Caenorhabditis elegans: one gene and its partner. The protein of the gene in region 2 purifies or fractionates together with the protein of the main gene of each other region. This does not show direct contact. Each region holds a gene or a part of one and is shown on either strand. Other genes may lie near its edges. The genes, in order: Y57G11C.22 and pkc-3.

Region 1 (9,432 bases), on a different chromosome or scaffold from region 2:
TTCAATTCACAACTACAATGACCTTCACCACGGTGACCGAGCATGAAAATGACCCGTAGAGAGGGGGAAAAGAGAAAGGGAACGGAAGAATTATGCAAAGGAATTGGAATGAGGGGCAGGACTAAACATAATTCTTATGTTTCAAATATACTAAGGTGGTGAAACAGTAAAATTTTTTTTAAAAAAATGTATTGAAAATTGAGGTTCCCATGACAGGCACCTTTTTCTATTCATACAAATAGAAAAAGGTACAAGATCCATTAAAAAGATTCGCTTCAACTTAAAAAAAACAATTGGTTTGAATTTGTTAACAATTTGAAAGTGAAGAATTTTCATCTAGCAATTATGTACAGACAAAAATACAATTTGAAGGGATTTTGCGAAAACGCGAAAAATATTTGATGGCTCAGTTTTGTCATTTGTATGGAAAATTAAAAAAAAGCTCAATGTAAATCAATGCGAAGTTTTTGAAGATGGAAAAAAATCAAAGCGAATAAAAATTTTGGCATCTCTATTTGTGAACTTTGTGTAAGGGTTAAAATATTTTGAGAGTTTTCTGGAATTAAAAAGAAAACTCGCAGAACTTTTTTTTTTAATTTAAAAATTTACTCAAAAAATGTACAGTTTCTGTGAAAATTACACATTTTTTTTGTGAAAACAAGTTCAGTTTTCCTTAAAATAATTAAAAACCAAATCCCATAATAATTAAATGTAATAATAATGTTTCAAATATATATATAAAAAATGAAACAGTAAAATTTTTTGAACATTGCCGAAAAAAAACTGAGTTGAAAATTGATTTTCACATATTAGGCAGGCGCGAAAGATGCCTACGTACTTGCCTACCTACCAATTTATTTAATTTATTTCTGAACTGCAGTATTTTGCGTTAGATTTACTCATTTGTAGTGTGGAGTTTGAAAAAAAGAACCTAAAAAAATGAAAAATTTAACTGTCATCAGAACGAAAAAATTGAATTTGTTGGAGTTTGTTAAAACTATCAAGCTGAAGAATTTTTTTGCTAATAAATTTTAAAAAACTATTTTTAATTGAAAATGGAAGTATTTTTATTGTAGTCAATATAATGCTGAGAACAATTTGAAATTTTCTGGTGCCAATATAAAAACTCAATGAGCTTGTAAGAGTTCAAAATTTCCTGAAAAATTTACTAGTATGGTTCCGAATGATTGGTTAGATTTTTTCACAATCTTCGTGCTTCCTGGCCGTTTTTTTAAGAAGTGAGGGAAATTTTGATGACTCAGTTTTGTAACTTTTAGAGGAAATTGTTCATTTTTTTGCTTTGATGCTCAAATCTAAAATAATCCGAAAATTATTAAAAACAAAAAATGAGAACTCAGGAGCTATTAAAAGTTATTTGCACATTTTTTTATGAACTTTGTGAATGTGTAAAAGTTTCGATATTTTTTTTTTGGAATTGAAAAATAATCGGAGAATCACAATTTGCAAACTTTAATATATTTTTTAATAATATGTTTTCCACTATAGACTCTGTGAAACATTAGAGAATTTTTAGTGAAAATAATGATCAGTTTCAATAAGTTCTTAATCTCATTGAGATGAATTTTATTGATCTTTTAGAATACTGTGGAAATGTAGCTTATAATAAGTCTAGTTCAATAAGAATGAAGCCTTATTATAAGCTACATTTTCGTGTAGAAATTTTAAAAATGTTTAATATTCATATTTGAATTTGTTAAAATATGTGTTTCAAATTAAATATCCGTAATTTGGAGGGTTTTCAATGACGTTTTTCGACATTTTTGCCGGTTAACTCCAGCCATTTTGTTTTTTGTGCGAAGTAAGGAAAACTTTCATTTCGATTCAATAGAATTAAATTCCGACAATGTTATTTTTTTGTTTCAGTCAATTTGATTCGGTTTTTGTCAAAGTGTTACAATTTGCAGTTTTTATTTTGTTTTTTTTCAATTAGGCATATGCTTTGTCCAGTATAACTCCTGTGAAACATTTGTGAATTTGTAGAAAAAATAATGTCCCGTTTCAATAAGTTTTCAAAGGTATCTCTTCGAGATGAATTTTATTATTCCGCTAGGAATCAGTGGATATGTAGCCCATAATAATTCTGTCAACTTTAATTCCAATTCAGTTATTGTCAAAATATTAATTGCAGACAATTTTGTTATGCTTTCGGTTTAATACTATTTTGGTTCTTAAATCGAACAACTTTGGTTTTCCAACTTCATATAACAATTTAGAGATTTTTTTTTCTGAAAACTAAGAAAAAGTTACACATTTCCTATTTTCAAGTTATTTTTTCAGTTATTTTCACTAACTAGTTAACTGATCACAAAAAACTTTGTGGAAAATATTCAAAACCTTAGTGACAATAATGTTCTGTTTCACGAAGTCCTTAAAAGTATCTTGTAACGGTGAACTTTAGTTCAAAGTTTCTCTGTTTGCGGCAATATATAAATTTCAAGAAATTTTACTATGTTTCTAGCTCAACACATTTTCAGAGTCTATAAAAAATGAAAACATTTTATTAATTTTTTTCCTGTTTCAGTGAGTTTTTAAAAAAAATTACCTTCTGTAGTTTCTAATCGGTTCCATGCTGCAATTTTAACCTCAACTTTGGAAAACTGGTATTAGTGTAGATTTACAAAGTTCTCGTTTTTTTTAAATTTTGGTTTAAAAAACGGGAGTTTTCCTGGAATTTACAAGGAAAATTGCAGAATCTGAATTCATTGAGATTTTTTTTACACTTACGCCGAAAATGTATAAACTCTGTGAAAAGGTTGCGAATTTTTAGTGAAAATATTGTTCTGTTTCAACAAGTTTTTAAAAGCATCTCGCAAAAAATTAATGTAGTTAATGAGCGTTAAATATGTATATCGTATTCCCTTTATCAATTTGTATTCCTGCGACAAATTTCCGTCAAAGAGAAATTTGTCTAGTTGGTAGTTTGTAGGATATAGTTTGTAACTGAAAATTTTAATTGCAGTTCAGTCTTTTGCCAAATATAAATTTAGTTATGTTTCTGGTTTAATACAATCTCAGAATCTCAGTGAAAAATAGTTCATCAATTTGTTTTTTCTCTGTTTCAGCAAGGAGTTTTAAATCCAGGCATTTCTTCTGTAGTTGATAATTTTTTTGAAGATTTACGAAATTTTCGTTTTCATTAGTGGTCGCTTTTTAGACATGCAGACATTTTGAGGATTCATGCACGGCCTACAATATATTTTCTCAAGCTTCCCAAGGCCTCTCTTGTCGTCTTAAATTCTGCCACTAACCCCATTTTGAATCAAATGCACATTGAGCTCATCTTCCATGCATCTCCTCCCTTCTCCTCTCATTCTCCATTTTCAGTGTGCATGATTGTCTGCGTCTCCCGCTTCTCTACACTCTCTCGTAGTCTCTACATCTCTCCGTCTCTGTGCTCTTTTTGCTCGTGAAGCTTTTAGTACTGCTAGAAGGAGTGAAGGAGTGACAATCGATTTTAAAGCAGAAAAATTAATTATGGATGTAAGTATTTTTTTTCAATTGTTTGTGTAGTTTGAAATTGAGCTAAAAAAACTGGAATGTTTCATGTTTTTATTAAAAAAGAACAATAAAAATCATAACTATTATAGTTACCATCAGAGGTGGGCGGATATTTTTTTCTGATATTTTCTAATAATGAATTTATCAATAAGTATTGATGTAGTTATTCTGGAAGAAATGTATCCGAACAAAAGAGTAACTATTAAGAAACATTTTAATATGATAAAACCTAGAAAAATTCTACAAGTTTTCTGTATAAACGATATGCAAGTCCATTATCCGATATCCGTAATATCCGTAATATCCGATATCCGATGTTGCTCGGCTAATAAGTTTTAAGGTCTCGGTAAGGAAAACTTGTAGAATTTTTCTAGGTTTTATCATATTAAAATGTTGCTTAATAGTTACTCTTTGGTTTGGATACATTTCTTCCAGAATAACTACATCAATACTTATTGATAAATTCATTATTAGAAAATATCCGAAAAAATATCCGCCCACCTCTGGTTACCATAATCGTGAAAAAACTTACTGTTTCACTTTCTAACAAATAATTTGTAGGTTTTCAAATTAATTATTGTTTTTTAACCATATTTTACAGTTCCAAATCGAAGAAGACCGGCTCGGAATGAGAATTCAATCGGAGACAATTGAGTTGACTAAAGATGAAAAAGGTGTCGTCGGAATTTCAATTGGTTTGTTCATTTTTTTCTCTGATGCTTGTATATAAATGGAAACCAACTCAAAATAATTTTTTAATAATAACTCGATAATGTTTAAGTGAATAGTTTGGTTTTTGAAACACTTCATTTAAAAACTACTAGAAACAGAAAAAAATGAAAAAAAAATGTTTTTCAAACAATTTGAAATATTACGCTAGTAGTGGTAGAGTGTACAATTTACCATTCCTTGGTTTTTTTTTACCGTCTGACCAAGAATAGTGTGTGAAACGAGAGATTTAGAGAAAGACGAGAGAGTGAGAGATTTGGTTATAGTAAGAAAGAATCGATTTTTAAATAGTGTGCGTTTTTGAGAGATTTAGAGAAAGAGACTGGTAAGACATTTTTGATGTTCTTGGTTCATTCAACCAGGGGACGGGTTCGAACCCAGGACACTATTCGTCTAAAACAGATGCCATACCAATACACTATAGACGTAGTCGCAAACCCAGTAGCATTTGACTCTTTTCTATTTCGAAACATCTGCCGTTTAGGAGACGTCTTTTTCCCAAACGCGATTTGAATGAATGCAAGCGTTACCGAGATTGATGAAGGAAGGAGGCCCCCCTCCCCGCGCCCCTGGGGGTTTCAAGAGTAAAAGTTGATGAACAAGTTTTTTCAATTTACCTGTGCTTTTGAAAAATGATGCATTCAAAGCTATTTGAAGTTTTTCGATAAAGGGTTCTCCACCCGTTATCGAAAACTTTAAAGAGCATTCCCTACAAAAAACATGTTTTACATTTTTTATTATTTATTCAATTACAGATAAGGATAAGTATTAGTGTTACATGCATTACTAACAATTCAAACATTATTATACAATCAATCAAATTTTATAATTTCCAATATTCTTTCGGCATTTCTTACAAACGTCAATTTTCAAAGTTGACCCATCATATTGTGCACCGTCCTGACAATCTGAACAAAACAGGATAGCGGCAAGTGGTTCCATTTTTCGTAAAGCAAACTGGGGTTCCGTTGTCTTGGCAGCCGTGTGTGTCGTTTTAAAAGTTTTCACATTTTTCTTTCCCTTCTTCTCCGACATAGGAATATCAGAAACATTTGATGGCAAAAACTCTGGTTCCTGAGACGAGTTTTGAAGAGTTTCAAAATTCCAAAAGACGTTCGCAGGTGAAGGATCAGGATAAGAAAAGTTTGAGAATGAGGACATTATCAAAAAAAGTCACTACGTACAACAAAAAATTGAGCACAAATGAAGATTGAATTCAGAAAAGTGGGCGGCTCTTGAAATTGGCATGGACAAATCATAAAGTTAATACTCCTGATGCATCAATCCAAGAGTCAAATTCGGCACCATATCCGTCCCAACGAACGAGGTGCTGTTTCTTTCCGCGTACTGTACGAGTGGCTAAAATCTTTTCAATTCGATACTGAGCGTCTGGTTTATATGTGCATTTAGTCAGTTCTCGAGTGTAGAATATTCCGGCAATTTTTTCTCCATTAGTGTCTACTATATTGTAGGTAACTGGTTTCCTTGCAAACACTTTGGAAATTACATAAACTTCTGTAGTCCATCCTTGTTCGTAGCCCTTGTCAAATTGTCCTCGTTTTGCAGCGATTCTGACGTGATCTCCTACTCTGAATTTGATTTTAACGCTGTCTACAGGCATCGGAGTTGAAAAATCTCCCCGCTCAACGTCTACTGGTTTTTTACCAATTCCACGATTAACGCTATTGTTGATACCATTCACAACTTGTTGTAAAACGTCCACATAACGTCGGTTGTACTTTTGAGTCATGTACTTTGCCAATCGAGTTTTCAGAGTCCTGTTTGCCCTCTCCACAATTGCACACTTTATTTCGCTTTTGGGTGAAAATAGATTCACAAAATTCTTGGCCAACAACTCTTTGACATGCGAGTTGTAAAATTCCTTTCCATCATCACTGTAAATTGTCATTGGTGTGACACCAATTTCTTTAAAAATGTCTTGTAGAGCTAGAGCCACTTCTTGTCCTTTTTTAGACTTTAACGTTTTTACAAAAAGCCGTCGAGAGTAAATATCTATACAGACTAGTAGAAAGGTTACTCCGTCGTTTTCCTTCTTGTACCGGGACATATCTGCGAGATCAATTTGAAGAGATGCATAAAGACCAGGTGAGACTGTTTTCCGACGCGGGAATCGCGATTGATTCGGGCGGTGAAGCGTAAAAGATTCCAAATCTTCGAGAACCTTTTCGACTTGTTCATACTTTAACGACTTGTATTTTGGCTTCAAATATTTGTAAACGTTTTTTACAGATGAATAGGCGCAAGGTAGTTTTTCGTCTGTATATGCTTCTTTTATGGCAGACTTCATAATAAAAATTTTAAAAATACAACATTTATATACAGATTTTAAAATTTCCATAATCTACAATAAACTCGTGAACCTGGAGGTGGAGCTGAACCAGATCCGTGAAGAACGCGCCTTTTGGCAGCAGGGATATTTGTACCATTATCTGGGATGGTTGAAGAAATGTTGCGTTTCAAGTTTTGCATCTTATAAATTTTGTTTGGCCTCACTCTACTCATATTCTTTCTTCTTTTCAAATCAAATTTCTGCCTCTTGTTTAAGTTTTTTGTGGAATCCTGTTGAAATGGTCTTTTTTTAATGGAAATCTCAGTGTTTTGTGGCGTCTCATCAACCATCGGCTCTTCATCTTCATCTTCCTCATCCAGCTGCAATTTATAAAGTTTTCGCGGTTTCACGTTATTCATGCTCTTTCCTCTCTTGAGATCAAACTTTTGCCTCTTGTTTGAAGTGGCGTATTGCTGAAACGATCGTTTTTTAATTGAAACTGGTGTAATTTCCACAGTTTTTTCCTCAGGTTTCCTCGGTGGAGCGGCTTGCATATCTTGATCGGGTTCTTCAATCTTCACTTTCACCACACTCTTCTTTTCCTTTTTACCCAAAGGTCTACTGAGAGTTCCGTCTTTCTTTTGTTTCTTGGACTTTTTTATTTTTCCGGGTGCATGTTTTTGGGGTTCCATAAAAAGTTCATTTACATTTTGCTCCATATTTATTTCTGGAATTTTTTCGTATTCCATATGATAATCCTCATCCTCGGGCTCTTCTTTGATGTAAACGTTTTTGCGGGGCTTTAAATGATTTATTCCATCATTGTGGTACGTCACGTCATCAAACAATTGTTCATTTTCCGCTTTATAAACAGGAGGACTTTCATAATATTTTTCTTGATATGATTCTCTCTTTTCAGGAATGACTTCATATTTTAAATTACGTCTCTCTAGCTTCACATTTCTTTTTTGATTGTCATTCTGTTGTTGTAAATTTTCTTGAATAACATCAAATAATTCTTCAGTGACAATTGGTAGTTCAGGGTGGTTACGAATTCGATATAGTACATCTTGATAAAAACGGCATTTTGTAGTTGGATCAACATCTGATGCGGATAGGATATTTTCTAAAAAACGTTTGGCAGATTCATATTCAGACCCATTCTCGTAGGGTATCATGTGATATTTGCGAATCAACTTCATTTCCAGAGATTTGTCGCAATAAGTGAAGGAATAACAAGCGTAGCCAATTGCTTTTTTGAAAGCTTAAATAGTAATTTCCTTGCATTGTTGACATCATTGGTACGTGAAATGGTAATTAGTTGATCGTGTATCGGCTGCAAAATTTGATATTCTGCCAGATTTAATGGTATATTTTTTTGAATTTAACATGTTGTACACAATTTCAACTAGAATATTTATTTCTTTGCTCGAAGCATCTCGAATAGCAATACGATTACGTTTCAAAACAGAATGCAAGAAATCAGTGTGAACAATTAAATGGGCAGCCATTTGTTAGCAAAAGATCAAAATACAATCATTTATATAGGCACATGTGCTATCGGGTATTCGTTTGTAAAGTTTGATAAAATACGCATAGTAGGGAGAGATAGGGGATCATTATTAATTAACAGGGCCTGATATGGTTTCGACATTACATCCTGGTATGCTTCGAAGGCTCCTCTCCATTTGTCTCCAAATTGCTGCATTAGTAGGTGTTTGATTTGAGAGGCGTCCGACAAGTTCCGCATCAAAATAATGTAGGTGCTATTGTTTCGGGTTATTGGAGGGAGTGTAAACGCAGACTGGACCAAATTGAAAATTGCGCAATTGAGATGATGAGCATAAAGACAAAACAAGTCATTGAGCAGATGGAGGGATTTTTTATCTCGTGCAAAAAAGTTCATCAAATCGTCGCAAACTAGAATATTATTCGGATGTTTGTGTTGCTTTAAAAGATCAACGTCTGGTAATCCTTCGATTGCATGAAAGTTGTGCAAGTGTCTTGGTATACTGGGTGTATCTAAGCCATAAAACCAAAATATATTGTCAATTGGTTTTTCAAACGTCTCAGAACAATTTTCCAAAATTTTTCTCAATAGTGTAGTTTTACCAGATTGTGTGGCGCCAATGATTGAAGTCTGAGATGGAAAACGAAATTGAAATCCTAGTCGCGATGACGATCCGTTTGATCGAGGCATGGTGAGAGGTGTGGTGTGGCGTGGTGTGGTGGAAATTGAAAATGTCAGTATATTTATAGTGAGCAATGAGGCTGTTGGCGGTCGTGGTCCTGGTCCTGGTCGAGTGGTATTGAAACTTGCGATTTCCGACGATATACTCGAGCAGACTGGCGTCCGCATTGTTCCAAAACCAAGACGGTTATTGATCCAATTATGAAAAATATTAGCGAAATTATATTAGAATAATCTTCCTTATCAAGTTTAAGAGTAGCCACGTAATCTGGAGCAGCATAAATTGGTAATCTGGAATAGGATCTAGGATCCACCTGTGCCAGCACTTTATTGTTGTATTCTATTGTTCCATTTTGAAGTAGTACGGTGAAAACTCCGTCGGCAACGTTAAAATCGCGAACATTTGAAATTGATTTCAATGTGATGGTGGAATTTCCAGGCCTAACATGACATATGCTCCCGTGTAGATATACATAAAATTGTTTTTGAACATGATCGAATGCAAAGAGTTCTGCATAGTCATAAAACCGTGTAACCGTTTTACCCTGCACACGGAAAAGTCTACCGTTACAGTGCATTAGCATATCGTCCGAACCAATAATTTCAAATTTGCATTTGTCGTTGGCAACCTGAACACGTAGTCCATCATCAATTATTGAATCTTCCATTTTATAAAACCACCTTAAATTTGGTTCGCCATTCT
Region 2 (11,066 bases):
ATTTCTCAAAGGCAAAACTCGTATTCTATTGTCATTTCCCGGATCGACTTTTAACGAAACGTGATGGAAATCTGAAAGCTTTCTATAGAAATATTATTGATTGGATTGAAGAGTACACAACTGGACTTGCAGATGTCATTTGTGTCAATAGTAATTTTACAAAAAATGTGGTTCGTGAAACATTCAAGTCACTGGCATCTCAGGAGCTGACCGTACTCTATCCTTCGTTGAACACCGAGTTTTTCGATTCGATTGAAGCTTCGGATGATTTTGGTGAAGAAATTCCACGTGGTACCAAATATGTTTTCACCTCACTGAACCGATTTGAACGAAAGAAGAATATCGTTTTGGCTCTAGACGCATTCGGTAACTTTAGATTTTATATTTTTAAAAACCTGTGTAATAAATTATTTTGCAGAGAAATTGAAATCGAATCTTCCTGCCGACGAATTTTCGCAATGTCATCTTGTTATTGCTGGCGGATATGATTTGAAAAACCCAGAAAACATCGAACACTATGATGAACTTGTTGAACATATGAAGAAACTGGAGCTCCCAGCTGATCAGGTAATAAATACGAATTTAGCAAAGTATAAATTACTTTTAAATTTCAGATCGTATTTCTCCACTCACCATCTGACACTCAAAAAGTAAATCTCATTCGGAGAAGTCGTGCGGTACTTTACACGCCTGATAGAGAACATTTCGGAATTGTTCCAGTTGAAGCAATGTACTTGGGAACCCCAGTAATTGCTGTTAACACTGGAGGTCCCTGTGAATCGGTTCGGAATAATGAGACGGGATTTTTGGTTGATCAAACGGCCGAAGCGTTTGCTGAGAAAATGATTGATTTGATGAAAGATGAGGAAATGTATCGAAGAATGAGTGAGGAAGGTCCGAAATGGGTGCAAAAAGTGTTTGCATTTGAAGCATTTGCAAGAAAGCTCGACGAGATTATTCAATCTACGCTTTAATTAATGTTTTTTCTTGAAATTTGGGTTTTAAGCGTTTCGTTTTAGAATCGCCAGTGTATTTTTTGTGATAGTCCTATGTGCTTTAAATTATTTATTTTGAAAGGTTCAATAAATTATATTTTATGACCGAACACATTATATTCTCAGTTGTTATCTTATATATCCACACCGGAATGTTGAATATCTGACCATATATATTTAGAATGTTGCGGTAATTTTTTTGTTGCTGTGGAATTTTATTTTATTTTTATTTTTCATAGTTTCAACATTTTACAATTTATTGAAATTTATGGGTTTTAATTGTTATATTTGGCGTTTTTCGTTTACTTTTTCGATAAAAATAAATTCAGTTAAAAACTAAGTTATAACAATGAAAACACATAAATTTGAACAAATCGTAGAAAAATCACTACAAATTTGACAGATTTTATGGGTTCTATCGCGATTTATTGAAATTAACGTCTTTTAATTGTTTTATTTTAGTTTTTTAGATAAATACTGTTTTCAAACGAAAAACTTTGAAAAATCGATAAATCTCGCAGTACTCCTGAAAGGCACACACTCGTTTGTACTTAAGAAAAATTGTCGCGACGAGACCAACTGTCCAACTACGGTAGTTTTCAAAATACGCGGTTCACCGCAAAGTCAAATTGCGGACCTGAACATTTTTTTATTTTTCCCGCAAACTTTTTTTTTCAATTTTGCCTAAAGCGCTCGAATAAACATGAAAGTCTCGTGTTTCCTTCCATCCAGACCTCTCATTTTTCAATTTTAAAACTAAAAGCACTTTTTGACCTACTTTTTGTCGCAACCGCCAAAACTCGCTTCCAGAATTATTCCCTTTTTAGGATTTTCGACGCAACATCTCCAACCGGTTAGTTTTTTCGCAGATTTTCTCGCATTCGCGTAGTTTCACTTGTTTACTTCGTGGCGCCTCGTTTTTTTCCGCTCTCTCGTCTGACCACCTTCATATTTATTGATCTGCGCCTAGCGGCGCCCGTTGAAATACTCCACATTTTTTTGCAATCTTGTCTGCGAGTTCAGGTTATTTTCGACTTTTATGAAAGCTTGCTAGGAAGCCATAGCAACCGGGGAAGAATACGCTAGCCAAATGAGAGATAGAATCGATCAGCTAAATTTAAGATAAATAGTGAATTCGAATTCTAAGACCTGCTCGACCAGCTGAAATTCTAAAACTCTGCGCCAAGATGTATAGACAGGTAATAATATTTGAATTTTCTTTAAAAGTGACCTTGAACCCTAAGATTTTCGCTCCTCCTAAACGTTGTAGTCTGTTACTCCCTGCCGCGACAATTGTCAGCAAAAATCGCGTCACATGATGATGAAAGTTTGTGGCAATGTTATAAAAAGACTGACCTTATTTCGTTTCTTGGAAGATGCAAAGAAATGTTTATTAAAAATTGCAGTGTGAAATCATGTCTCTCGCTCCAAAGGTGCATTTCTTATTTGTTTTTTAAAAATATATTTGGTTACTTAGATATTAATTTAAATCACGGAAAAGTTTAAACCCCTCGATTTCTGTTATTTAACATGATCACTCACTTTTATAACAATTAATTTGGTTTTTCAAAGATGTTCCCAGAATGTTTTATTAGTTCTCATTTCGTCCTCCGATTTTTTTTCTTTCGTCGCTCTCCAATTTTGCCAATGTATTTCATTCCCATTAGATAAGCACCGCCCGTCACCTTATTCTCCTTCTTTTCACATTGCAAACAAATTCGTTGCCGTTGGGTTTCAATATCCTTTTCATTTTTTGTCGTATTGTTGTTCTTGTGATTGTGGTTGTTATTTTATCGCGGTATTATTTTTTTTTGTTAAACTAATTAATTTTTAGATGTCGAAAGCATTCATCGGAAAGCCAGCTCCACAATTCAAGACTCAAGCCGTCGTTGATGGCGAGTTCGTTGATGTTTCGCTCTCTGACTACAAGGGAAAATACGTTGTGCTCTTCTTCTACCCACTTGACTTCACTTTCGTGTGCCCAACCGAGATTATCGCCTTCTCTGACCGTGCTGAGGAGTTCAAGGCTATCAACACCGTTGTGCTCGCCGCTTCCACCGACTCTGTCTTCTCTCACTTGGCATGGATCAACCAGCCACGCAAGCACGGAGGACTCGGAGAGATGAACATTCCAGTTCTCGCTGACACCAACCACCAAATCTCCCGTGATTACGGAGTTCTCAAGGAGGACGAAGGAATTGCTTTCCGTGGTGAGTTATATTCTGAATGGAATCCTTCATATTTTCGTACTTTATTTGAAAAATAAAATTTCAGGACTCTTCATCATCGACCCATCACAAAACCTCCGTCAAATCACCATCAATGATCTTCCAGTCGGACGCTCTGTTGATGAGACTCTTCGTCTTGTTCAGGCCTTCCAGTTCGTCGAGAAGCACGGAGAGGTTTGCCCAGCTGGATGGACTCCAGGATCCGACACCATCAAGCCAGGAGTCAAAGAAAGCCAAGAGTACTTCAAGAAGCACTAAATGTCTTACATCTCTAATTTCCCCCGTATCCCTAGTATTTATCTGAACGGTTTATTTATACTCATTTTTCATTTTGATACTGAAATTCTGAAATTCATGAAATTGCTTGATAACCGTAAAATAAACTCGGTATTCGAATATAACTGTTTCTGTTCAGGAACAAACAATATGTGTCGAGACTCTCTCTCTGTTACTTTTTTGTCACTTTCCTAGACCGCCCGTGTTAGTCGGTGCGCGCGCATCGTCGTCCTGTACAGTGTTTGTGAGGGTCACCTGTGATTATTCATTTCTCTATGCCTCTTCAAAGCTGGGCCGCTCTCACTGACCTGTACACTTGGACAAAATGGGGGTGTTCGATAGAGCGTCAATGCATATATAGCTATAACAGTGTGTGTGTGTGTATGTGCATGTTTATTCATGAGTCATTTTTCCCTTTTTTACTCTAATACTGCCAACTCGTCACTGTTTCAGTTTCGCAGTTTTCGTTCAGAACTCCTTTTTTTGAACCGTTTTTAGTTCAATTTTTATTTCAGAATGTCGTCTCCGACATCATTAGAGGAGGACGGAGATATTAAGCTAAAAACGAGGTTTCAAGGACAGGTGAGATATGAAAAGTGGCTTTTGAAATGCTCAAAAATCGAGAAATACCCTAAAAATGAATTTTTCGTTGCAGTGAGAATGTGTAAATCATTTCGCCGTCAATGCGAAATTTTAGTTTGTCAAAGCTTTAAAAATTCGTAACAGAGAGAAAATTCCAGACAAAAAATAGAAAAAGACCGTGATAACCGAATAAAACTGTAAAAAATTAATTTTTCTGAACTTTTAATGATTTGATTAATAGTGTTTAAAACTTAAAAAGCTCTTTTCCGGCTAAAATTAAAAAAAAACAACCACTGATTTTTTAAAAATTCTGCAAAATTGAAAAATAATTTTTGTTACTGTATAACTTTTTTTTTTTAATCTGAAAAATTCCAGACTCCCAAATTTTAATAAAAATTAAATTCCAGGTAGTAGTACTCTATGCTCGACCACCGCTCATTCTCGATGACTTTTTTGCACTTTTGAAAGATGCTTGTAAACAACACAAAAAACAAGATATTACTGTAAAATGGATTGATGAAGATGGAGATCCAATCTCAATAGACTCACAAATGGAACTTGATGAAGCAGTTCGATGTTTGAATTCTAGTCAAGAAGCCGAGTTGAACATTCACGTTTTTGTTGGAAAACCAGAGCTGCCCGGGCTTCCGTGTCAAGGAGAAGACAGTAAGTATCATGAAGCTATCAGAAAAATTATTTAGAATTTCGAAAAAATGTGCGCCTTCAAAGAATACTGTAAAGCGGAATTTCTATCAATTTTTATAAAAAGATTGAAATGAAACAATTAGAAACACATAAATTTTGGAATTTTGGAAAATAGATCAAACTTCCGCAGTTTGAAACTACAGTAATCTTTAAAGGCACACAATTTCTCGCGTTTAACAAGAAATTTGTCGGAGGAAAAATCGGAAATTTTCGAGTCTGAGAAATGTTTTTTTTCCAGAAACTGTATATCGAAGAGGTGCTCGACGATGGAAGAAAATTTATCTGTACAATGGGCATCGATTCCAAGCGAAACGGCTGAATCGGTAGGTTTTTTTTTCTGATTTACAGCCTCCGGAGCTTCTTTCTTTTCAGCCGTATTCAATGCTTTATTTGTCATGACTACATATGGGGAATTGGACGGCAAGGCTTTCGATGTGTGGATTGTCGTTTATGCGTGCACAAAAAATGCCATCGGCATGTGCGAACGCATTGTGGTCAGGTAATTCTTTTTTTTTGTAGCGAGGATAGCTTCTAAATTATTCCAAAATTTTGAAACTAAGACCTCCCAGACTTCTGTTTTTCAATTTTTACAAATTTCTGTGCAAAACAGGTTTAAAGCTTAAATTTTTAAATTCCTCATAAAAATCTAAATCATTTTCAGGCTCTCCAAGGCCCGAATATTATCCCAATGGCTCCTGCAAGTGGTTCTCTAAAGGGTGCTCGATCGAATACAAGCTCATCTACAACGCGGTCGGGTGGAGGAATTGATAACGGAGCATTCCACGAGCACGAAATCGAATCACCCGGATCCACGAGTCATGATGCTAGCAGAGCTATGGTAAGCTTTTGAAGTTGGAGCCAAAATTTGAAATAAAATATATTTGAAATTTGATATAAATATCTTTGTCTTCACGTCTCCGAGGGATCGTAATAAATTTAATTTAATATTCAGAAAAGTTAATTTTTTTTGAAATTTATTAGTTTATTTCCAAAAAAACATAACTTTTATTTAAATAAAACCATCTGAAAAGTCTCAGATTTACAATAGCTGAAAATGAAATAACTCTTGTTAAAAAAAACAATTTAAATTGGAAAGTCTTTGAAATAGTGGTAGTTAATTGAAATATTTAATTAAGTTTAATCCAAAGTTCAATTAAATATTAGGTTCTTCCTGTTGCAATTTCAATTTCAAATTTCTAGATACGTGATATATGTAACTCTTGAAAAACATTCTAGATTTCTAGACTCAACTACATTTTTTTGTTTTTTTTTGGATGAACAAGTTTTTGTAGTTTCACTCTTTCTCTTGCTCTCAAAATTTTTATTCATTTCCAACCACAATTCCCTTCCTCGCTGCGAATTCTGATTTCTTCCTGATATCAAAATATTTTAATATTTCAACGTATGGCACTTTTCTGTCAGTGCTTCCCAGTATCAGATAAAAAGAAACGGCGAAAAGTATTTTTAAAGTTACATAGATTCAAATACTAAAATTTTTTAATATTTCAGAATGGAAATGGGTCGTCAAAATGGGCAGTTTCTCTGAACGATTTCCGTCTTTTAACAGTTATTGGACGTGGATCTTATGCAAAAGTTGTGCAAGCAGAACATGTTTCAACTCGTCAAATTTACGCGATAAAAATTATCAAAAAGGAGATGTTCAATGAAGATGAAGATATCGATTGGGTACAGACGGAGAAGTCAGTATTCGAAGCAGCGTCAAATTATCCATTCCTTGTTGGATTACATTCTTGCTTCCAGGTTGGTAACTTTCTTTTTCTTCGATTTTTTCAAATCTCAAATTTTCGCATTAAAAATTTTAAACCAAAATTTTGATAATTTCAGACCGAATCCCGCCTGTTCTTTGTCATCGAATTCGTTCCTGGAGGTGATCTGATGTTCCACATGCAACAGCAACGGAAGCTTCCAGAAGAGCACGCTCGATTCTATTCGGGTGAAATAATTCTTGCTCTTCATTTCCTTCATTCTCGCGGAATCATTTATCGTGATCTCAAATTGGACAATGTTCTGATTGACGCTGAAGGACACATAAAACTGACAGATTATGGAATGTGTAAAGAGAATATTAAGGATGGAGATTTAACTTCAACTTTCTGTGGAACACCCAATTATATTGCACCAGAAATATTGAGAGGTGATGAATATGGATTCAGTGTTGATTGGTGGGCATTGGGAGTGTTAATGTAAGCCTTTTTTGGTTGAACATTTATTTTATTTAAATCGTTTTAGGTTTGAAATGATGGCTGGTCGATCTCCATTCGATATTGTTGGAATGCAGAATTCCGAGGAAAATACAGAAGATTATCTTTTCCAAATCATTCTTGAACGACAGATTCGAATCCCTAGATCACTTTCTGTACGGGCTTCTGGTATTCTAAAGGGATTCCTGAACAAGGATCCAACAGAACGTCTGGGATGTAAGCTTGACATTAATGAAGGTCTTCGTGATATGAAAGAACATCAATTCTTCCGTGGATTCATTGATTGGGAAGCTTTGGAACAGAAGGCTGTCGCACCTCCATATCATCCAGCTGTGGAAAGTGATCGCGATTTGACACACTTTGATCATCAGGTAATTTTAATTTCTTCAGAACTTAACTTTAAAAAAAAATTAGTTTTTGTTTACTAATAAATTATTGAATCAAAATATTTTAAAACTAATTCAAAATGCTTGTTTTTTTTTTCAGTTCACCGACGAACTTCCACAATTATCACCTGACAATCCAGATGTTATTGCACGAATTGATCAATCAGAATTTGATGGATTTGAATACGTGAATCCTCTACAAATGAGTCGGGAAGATTCAGTCTGATTCCCCCACCATCCCCCGAGTCCCAAATATTTATTTTCTTCGGTATACTTTTTTGTGATTTTTATTATTATTCTCGAATCCCATCTCCTTCGCCCACTGTCTTATACGATACTATGACACACTAACTCGTGGCATAATCAGTATCCTAACTTATTTTCTTTTTCTCAACATCTGTTATACATTTTCTCGCAACAATCACTTCTACTCGTCTTGTGGTATCTTACAATCCCGAAAAGGTTGTGATTTTTTTTGGTTTCTGTTAAAATCTAGACTATTCATACTTGCTAGGAATACCTAATGCTTGATGACCTCCCCTTCTAAATACACCTTCTTGTTACTTTTCTTGTCAGCTCATTCATTTCCCTGAAATATATGTAAAATTGCGGCGAAGACTACGATCAATGTAGTCTCTTCGCCATCTGACACTTCTTTTGTGCCACGTGTGGAACTCGATTTAACTTCAATTCAATTTACATGTTCTTCCATTTGACCACTTCCCTTACTTATTTATTGACAAACAAAAAAAAATTGCATTTCAATGGTCTTTATCAGTTCTAATGTGGGCGCCAATTCATTTCATCATCACAGTCTGAATCACCTTCCTCGCTTGCTTTTTCAAAGTTTTCTGGGCGCGGGCGGGTAGAAAAGTCTTAAAGGGACGTTCGAGCACAATCTCTCGTAGTCCACAGTCGGCTTCATAGAAGTTGAGAAGTGCTCTGCAAAATGCCTCGCCGAGAGCTTCATCTGAAAATTGAACCAAGTTACAGTAGGAAATCACTGAAAAAAAACCTACATTTATATTGAAGATATGGCGTACAATGTTGTATTCCATTTCCAGAAGAGTCTGTATGGCGATAAGAGAAGAATGATACTTCAAGTGTATAGCAAAGGCAGGAAAGTAGATCTCCCATCGTTCTGAAAAGTTATGAAGGGTCCTGACACGACTGGCATTTTTCTGCTACAGTAACCCAGCGTGTTTTTCTCAACTCCGTGTTTCCCAATGTATTCATTTTGAAAATATGCATATATTTTCTAGAAACATCATTATAAAACCACACAAAATATTGAGAAAATGTTGCAAAATAGAGATTGAAAGTAAAAGGTACTGTTGCTGGAAATGTTCACTCACGCCAGGACCCACAGTCGTGTTTTTGCACGCAGATACTACGGATGACCATGTGAGAAATTACTAGCTATTGCAAAATTCATATCGTGGCAAGACCCATCAAATTAAAATCACGACTATTCGAAATCCATAATAAATTATTCGTTCCCTTCCATATAAAAAATCTCACCTTCTGCCAGTACCAGCCTTCTCCACATCCGTGTTGAATTGAGTGAACTCGAGCGAATAATCTTCGGAAAGATCTGCCAGCAAATGCGGAAGCCATAACTGCCGGAAAGTCGATTTTTCTTCGACCGAAAATTAGAAAAAAATGTTTCAGAAAATTTAAATTTTGTGGTCATTGCAAAGTTGAGCGAAACTATGAAAAGATTAGGGTTTAAAATTGTGAAATGCTGTAGATAACTGCTAAGTTTCGGTAGTATCAAGACCGGGTACTTTGTTTAAAATCGCTAAGTTCTTCAATCGGCTAATATCGGGTCTCGCCACGGACAAAATATTTTCAATAGTTGCTGTACCCCTTCAAGAAATACAGTAACTCATAACTGATTCTTGAAGTTGCCCGAACCAATTCACAAAAAAATTCACAACTTACAGCTGACATATTCACATTTCCATACAAAAAACAATTTGGCTTCTGAGAATGGGCATGTAGATCAACGTAGATTACAGTTTGGGCTTGCTGAAATATTCAAGAACAGATCCTAAAACTTCTACAAATTATTGATTCATTTATTCCTAAAATTGACACATAACAGTGAGCATGGCAACTTTCCCACAATGTTTCAATTTAACCATAGTCTACAGTAATCTAGGATTTTGATCGCTTCGAGATACAGTCAACTTGAATGTATCATGGGAATTGCAAAAAAAAATTGATGAAAATGCTCAAAAGTCCTACAAAACACTGAATATGTATATCGATAAATTCCCAATATCGATAAATTTAACAGCTCTCACCGGATTATTATCATATTGCGTCAGTAAATTCTTCACAGCATAAATTGAAGGATGAGCCCAATCTGAAGGGGTTCTCCACATTCTATTCAAGTCATGACCCATTAGAGAACATCTGAAATGACCTTCTGATAAGGTAGGCACTGTAGGTAGGTACGCCTTTATGCCTGGGCCGAGAGGTTGTTGGTGACGAGGAATGCCTACCTAGGCTGTTTGCAAAAAGTTACCTATAATTTCCGAGAAAAACGCCATCTGGATTAAGCATTGGAATAATTTTGAAACAATAAACTTTTCTCAACTTCTGTGCTCGATCATCTTTGGAAACAAGAAATTCAATAATTCCATGCATAACATGACTACTCGGTGACTCTCCAGGATGAACTCGCGCAGTTAGAAAAATCATTTTCTTGGATCCTTGGAATGTGTCAGGTGTTGCATCAATTGTTATCAAGTCGACACGACGTTTTTGCTGAATTATTTTCCAAAAAGTTTCAGACTATTCCATGAATATTTCCAATTTACCACAGTTTGAACCAAAAGATCTCTATGAAAAAATGGGTATTTTCTGGATTCCAACTCATTCAACCATATCTGCATTTGTCCATAAGTATACGGTATACAGTATGCAAATTGAACAGGATCTGGTGATTCAAATATGAAAGCAAATGAAAGAATCCAACGATCATTGTGTTGGGAACTACGGTAGTAGTAGATATGGCGAGATGGGATTCGAGCCCTAAAATGTTGAAATGGCTCTTTAAAATAGAAAATCGAGGGGTTTTCATCATACCAACTATTTTGAGCATTTGATTTGACTACAGGTGCTGCAATTCCCATTTCGAATAGTGTTCTTTGTTTTGAAAAGTTCACAATATTGAAGATCGCCCGCTGAAGAATTTGCAAATTTGATAATAAAATTTTAAAGTTTAAACTGCATAATTACACTAATTTTCAAATAGTACCCAGTCAAAAAGGTGTGCGCCTTCAATCAATACAGTAACCGCCGGTAACTTTCAAAACGAGGAATGGGTTACTGTATTCTTAAAGGCACACACCTTTTAGCGCGGAAAATAGAGTACTGTAGCTAGGAAAAAAGTTGTCTCAAAATGTTCTCCCCGAAAATAAAGAACATATTTAGGTATACTGGAAAATTCGTAAATATTTCAGAACCATGGCCATTGCAGAAAAAAACTGAAAACCTACAGTAACCCGTAGGGTATTGAATTTTTTTAAAAATCGCTGCGAGACCCGACGTTTCCGCCTCAGATCCAGTTTTCGAATATCAATAATAAATACAAATTCTTCAAACATTTACCTGATTTTCAGATGCATTTTTGCATTCAAAATAGAACCAAACTCTATATTT

What was found.
Region 1: the proteins of pkc-3 (region 2) and Y57G11C.22 purify together in Caenorhabditis elegans (affinity purification with western blotting, with the first as the bait; one study listed by BioGRID). This does not show direct contact.

What each region holds. Positions count from the first base shown.
Region 1 is NC_003282.8:14,833,716-14,843,147, forward strand, and holds the start of Y57G11C.22 (PRKCA-binding protein), read left to right. Parts: upstream 1-3,495; coding exon 3,496-3,501; intron 3,502-3,602; exon of another isoform or gene 3,603-3,624; intron 3,625-4,097; exon of another isoform or gene 4,098-4,118; intron 4,119-4,120; coding exon 4,121-4,214; intron 4,215-4,282; exon of another isoform or gene 4,283-4,304; intron 4,305-6,594; coding exon of another isoform or gene 6,595-7,011; intron 7,012-7,125; coding exon of another isoform or gene 7,126-7,664; intron 7,665-8,131; coding exon of another isoform or gene 8,132-8,678; intron 8,679-9,043; coding exon of another isoform or gene 9,044-9,432.
Region 2 is NC_003280.10:5,376,013-5,387,078, forward strand, and holds pkc-3 (Protein kinase C-like 3), read left to right. Parts: upstream 1-4,014; 5' UTR 4,015-4,015; coding exon 4,016-4,081; intron 4,082-4,488; coding exon 4,489-4,747; intron 4,748-5,024; coding exon 5,025-5,109; intron 5,110-5,158; coding exon 5,159-5,285; intron 5,286-5,447; coding exon 5,448-5,624; intron 5,625-6,295; coding exon 6,296-6,547; intron 6,548-6,631; coding exon 6,632-6,990; intron 6,991-7,036; coding exon 7,037-7,379; intron 7,380-7,494; coding exon 7,495-7,620; 3' UTR 7,621-8,157; downstream 8,158-11,066. Other genes in the region: algn-2 (Alpha-1,3/1,6-mannosyltransferase ALG2), read left to right, coding at 1-366, 419-567, 615-974; Peroxiredoxin prdx-2, read left to right, coding at 2,411-2,428, 2,830-3,205, 3,270-3,481; ccpp-6 (Cytosolic carboxypeptidase 6), read right to left, coding at 8,192-8,364, 8,414-8,535, 8,916-9,040, 9,339-9,425, 9,704-9,815, 9,928-10,169, 10,223-10,436, 10,491-10,588 and 1 more.